Kluyveromyces lactis: one gene and its partner. Each later gene encodes a partner of the first gene's protein in a complex. Links are inferred from orthologs where the notes say so. Each region holds a gene or a part of one and is shown in the gene's direction. Other genes may lie near its edges.

The links. The genes of interacting proteins can lie anywhere in the genome.
Region 2: RSM18 (region 1) and RSM27 share a complex: the UniProt entries of both Saccharomyces cerevisiae proteins name them as parts of the mitochondrial small ribosomal subunit. The link is inferred for Kluyveromyces lactis from reciprocal best matches to the Saccharomyces cerevisiae genes RSM18 and RSM27.

The regions. Positions count from the first base shown.
Region 1 is NC_006041.1:409,273-411,571, reverse strand, and holds RSM18 (mitochondrial 37S ribosomal protein bS18m), read left to right. Parts: upstream 1-1,290; coding exon 1,291-1,758; downstream 1,759-2,299. Other genes in the region: KLLA0_E04599g (uncharacterized protein), read left to right, coding at 13-390; KLLA0_E04577g (uncharacterized protein), read left to right, coding at 675-1,061; protein kinase PKP1, read right to left, coding at 1,892-2,299. UniProt on the Saccharomyces cerevisiae protein: Component of the mitochondrial ribosome (mitoribosome), a dedicated translation machinery responsible for the synthesis of mitochondrial genome-encoded proteins, including at least some of the essential transmembrane subunits of the mitochondrial respiratory chain.
Region 2 is NC_006041.1:1,440,285-1,442,735, reverse strand, and holds RSM27 (mitochondrial 37S ribosomal protein mS33), read left to right. Parts: upstream 1-1,512; coding exon 1,513-1,839; downstream 1,840-2,451. Other genes in the region: RPS0A (40S ribosomal protein uS2), read left to right, coding at 278-952; KLLA0_E16149g (uncharacterized protein), read right to left, coding at 1,186-1,350; GPI1 (phosphatidylinositol N-acetylglucosaminyltransferase), read right to left, coding at 2,054-2,451. UniProt on the Saccharomyces cerevisiae protein: Component of the mitochondrial ribosome (mitoribosome), a dedicated translation machinery responsible for the synthesis of mitochondrial genome-encoded proteins, including at least some of the essential transmembrane subunits of the mitochondrial respiratory chain.

The DNA.
Region 1 (2,299 bases):
AGGTTGTCGATAATGATTAATAAGGATAAAATTGTTGATGGAGTTGTTTTTAAAGACGAAGATGATCCTGAAGAAACAGTTGTTTTTAATTTCCATACTTGGGTAGAAATGCTTAAAGCAATTATCGTTAAGTATGCAAATAAAAAAGAAGATGAGGCTGAATTAATGGTTTTATCGTCTTCATTAGTATGTAAGCCCATTGATAGTTATCTGGCAGTATGTCTTCGTAGCCATGAACTTGAGTATCATTGGGCAATGCTGATAGCTTACGGTGAACAGTTTTGGTTGAAAGGAGTAAGCTCTAAACAACCAGATGATTATTTAATATTGGACGAGAGTTATAGAAAAGACCACAATCTAGCTGAAGAAAGTTTTGTATTTAACGATTAATGGATTGAAAGCTGGAAAAGTAGTAATATTTTCCAGCTTTTTAATTTGTTGTTACGTTTATATGTTAACCTACTTAACCTGAATAACCACCAGAGCGGATAGAACACTGACTGATAATAGATGAATTGATGTTACATTGGAAATCACACCAATATTGATAAAATCCTCGAATTAGTTCAGAATCGCAGTTATTTACTGATTCATTATTCCCATCAGATCCAGCCAAGAATCAAGACCCTGCCGAAAAGCTGGGGTAAACGTTTGATTGTGGCCCACGGCTGGCTATGGGCGATTTCTACGTGCGGCAGCAGCGCGCCAGCGCGCCGCTGATCAAAGATCCATTACTGCTGCAGGTTACCGACAATGAAAGCCAGCTAGCCTCGATGCTGGCACACGAAATCTCACACGTGACCAAGCGCAACGCACCGCTGACCTGGGTAGGCACTCGGCTCCATTTTGCTGGCTATAACCAACCTGACTGCCGGCATAGCAGCGCTCAGCGGTACCGTCGCCGGTACCCAGCAAACGGATCATCAGTTTTGGCCAGGTCAAAGAATAGGAGGCCGATTGCATCGGCCTGTAGGTGCTGGAGCGCGCCGGGTTTGATCCACAGGGATGCCCGACTTCCTGCAAGAGCTTTCCGATCAATCGCGCTACACCTCCAAGGTTGATCTGCGTAAACTGGGTTGACAACAGGAAAAAGGTTGAATGCCTGGCAATGACTTAAGTATCCTTTATTTCAATCTCTTTTTTTTTGAAATTTAGAGATCTTTTCAACATGGAAAATTTTATTCAATAACATGAATATTAAGCAAGCAAGAGAAGGAAAACAACCAAGTCGCTCGGGCCTTTCTACGCCTGTTAACGAGAGATTGAATAAATTAAAACACATCAGAAGAAATGTTTTCCCGCAGCTGCGCAAGATTCTTTTCTACCACAAGATATGTCTGCAACAGTCTTGACCAAAAACTTCTGAAAGAAGGTATGTCGGAAGCTAATAGCAAGCCCACAATCAAGAAGCTAGAATCCAAGTTAATCAAAAACTTTCAGCCGGGCTCCGTTTACAATCCATTTGATTTCTCCTTAGAAAGAATACATTTAGATAAGAAGTTTGGGGTACGTCCTGGATCGTTTGACCCATTCAACAAATTGAAGATCAATCCACTTGATTTATACACCAACCCAGAGTTCTTGTCAAGATTTGTGACATCAACGGGTAAAATATTACACAGAGATGTAACTGGTTTATCGGCTAAGAACCAGCGTCGTCTAACAAAGGCTATTAAGAGATGCCAAGCAATAGGTTTGATGTCTAAGGTTCACAAAGACATATCGGTGCTTCCTCAAAGAACTGCAAACAGAAGCTAATCATGACATGTGATAACTTCTTGTATATATGAATATATGTTTCTCAATAAATAGGATTATATCTGTAAATAGCGCTAACAGTATAAACACGTTGCAATGGAAAGCTCCGGGACTGAATGATAGTACAGTGTTCTCATTTGTCGAATAGTCTATCCGATGGACCGTGCAATCGTATATAAACATCAGTACCCCATCCCCACAATGACTGAATGTCAAGTGTACCATTGAACAACTCTAGGTACGCTTTGCACATTGGAAGTCCGAATCCCATACCTGCAACGTTTTGGACTTCTTGACCAGGTAAAACATAATCGCTCATACCGCTGTCCTTCTCTTCCTTCACCGTTGTGGAAAAAGAATAATCAAAGACTCGGTCTTCTACCTGTGGATCTATACCGCCTCCGAAGTCTCTGATTCTGATCTCAAGTTGATCGTCGTTTTTCACTATTGTTACTTCCACATCTTTGTCAACGTTGTTTTCAATATGTGCTCTCGAGCTGTTCTTAAGCAATTCTTGAAGGACGTATTCTAGATCCGTAGG
Region 2 (2,451 bases), about 1.0 Mb from region 1:
CCCTTCGAACAAGGATATCAGACTGAAGTACGAGAGGATATGGTTTTAACTGAATCTGTTAAAAGAACAACAATTGAAATGGCCTGCCATTTCTAGGGAACTAAAATAATAATAAAAAAGTACACGAACATCTCCTCTATCATATGGTAATATCTGCACTTCGAAAAGTGTATCCTGTCGCATGTTGCGGTTGGGAAAAAGCTCTCTCTTTACTAACAATATATTTTTAACTTTTGCGAACGAAACGTTTGCATGGTTATTTTTTAATTATTAACAGGTTCACCAAGAACCATACGTCTACAAGGCTAGACCAGATGGTGTCAACGTTATCAACGTTGGTAAGACCTGGGAAAAGATTGTTTTGGCTGCCAGAATCATTGCTGCCATTCCAAACCCAGAAGATGTTGTTGCTATCTCTTCCAGAACTTATGGTCAAAGAGCTGTCTTGAAGTACGCTGCTCACACCGGTGCTACTCCAATTGCTGGTAGATTTACCCCAGGTTCTTTCACTAACTACATCACCAGATCTTTCAAGGAACCAAGATTGGTTATCGTTACTGACCCAAGATCCGATGCTCAAGCTATCAAGGAATCTTCTTACGTTAACATCCCAGTCATCGCTTTGACCGATTTGGACTCCCCATCCGAATACGTTGATGTTGCTATCCCATGTAACAACAGAGGTAAGCACTCCATCGGTTTGATCTGGTACTTGTTGGCTAGAGAAGTCCTAAGATTGAGAGGTGCTCTACCAGACAGAACTCAACCATGGGCTATCATGCCAGATTTGTACTTCTACAGAAACCCAGAAGAAATCGAACAACAAACTGCTGAAGAAGAAGCTGTTGCTTCCGGTGAACAAACTGAAGAAGCCGTTGACGCTACTGAAGAACAAACCGAAGCTGCTGAATGGGCTGAAGAAGGTCAAGCTCAAGAAGAAGAATGGAACTAAACTTCAAGAATTCTTTAACTGAATTCCTGGAAGTTATTCCACCTTTTTTTTTGTTTAATTCATCATTCTATAATATAGATTCAATGCTTAGCATACTATCATTGTTATTATTATAGCTTCATGCAACAACTCTCAACCATCCGCTCATATTTTTAACTATTTTTACTAGTTTTTAAAACTCCACATCGTGTATAATTTTAATATCATTATTGATCCAGGCTAGTACCCGATAATTATACAAAGAATTGAATATTATTTAATTGATTGAACGTGCCAACTGAATATTTCCCCTTCAATGGTGCTTCAGTACCCAGTATGGCAATGTGACCCTTCTCGCATCTCTCATCGCTCTTATCCTCATCATGGTGATAATTTCCTGATAATGAAAATTTGAACATTGGAACATTCGAAAAAAAACTGAGCTTGCATAAAATAGAAACCTGCTGCAGAAGTAGTAAGTGAAAGTACCAATAAATAGGTCTTAGGTGTGCTTTAACTCTCAGCGAACTAGTTTGCGGGTTGTTCCATCAGTTATCACTCATATTTTCATATTTTGAGAAATGTCTGTACCCAAATCTAGGCTACTGAAGCTTGCTGAGATATCAGCCAAAGTTTTTGATCAAAATTTCAATCCAACAAATGCCAGAACTGGGTCTAAGATCCTAGCACAGAGGCTTAAAGGACCTGCTATTGCGAATTATTATGGTAACCCAGATTTTATCAGATTCAAGCAATTGAAGAAACTATATCCAGGCATGAACTTCGTTGATGAAGAAGAACAATATAGATTGACTATGCTTGAACTAAGAAAGCGTAGAGGTAAGGGTGCTCCAACTAAGAAGAGAGAGGCCTCTGGTGACGGTAAAAAGACCAAGAAGAGAAAGTGATCAAAATGAGCCCAGCCTATCCTTTTATCCCACTTAAAGGGACTTGCAATTAACATTTCCATCATATAAAAATACCTTGTATATAAATTATATCAGTCAGTTCAAATAGACCCAAGAATTTAACGAATTTCAACTATGTTTTTATTAAATACGAATATTCAAGTAAGATTCAAACTATGCAATCTGTGCCATTAATTGTGGTTGTGAGAGGGGTTTATATCGTATCTTGTTCCATTACCATCTTTAACTTTTTCCATAGTAAATCGATATCAATTGGATGTCTCGGTAGATTATGGTACAAAACACGATAGAGTTCATCTCTTCGTACATTAAGAACTGATCCCTGACTCACCATCTTCAAAGTCTCAACCGAGAACATCTGTCTTTGAATGGATTTCATGACGTTTGTGAATGGTTCAAAGGTCATGAAAAAGCTGATTGGATTATTCGATATTAATAAGTGATCATCATATACTTTGAACTTGATACCACCAGGTAACCTTTTAGCATCTTTTATCCGTAAAAGCAATGCAAATAAAGGGAAATGGTTGATAAGGGCCAAACTTAGTTCAAGCAACACTTTCACTGTAAGGTCAACAAATCTGAACACTG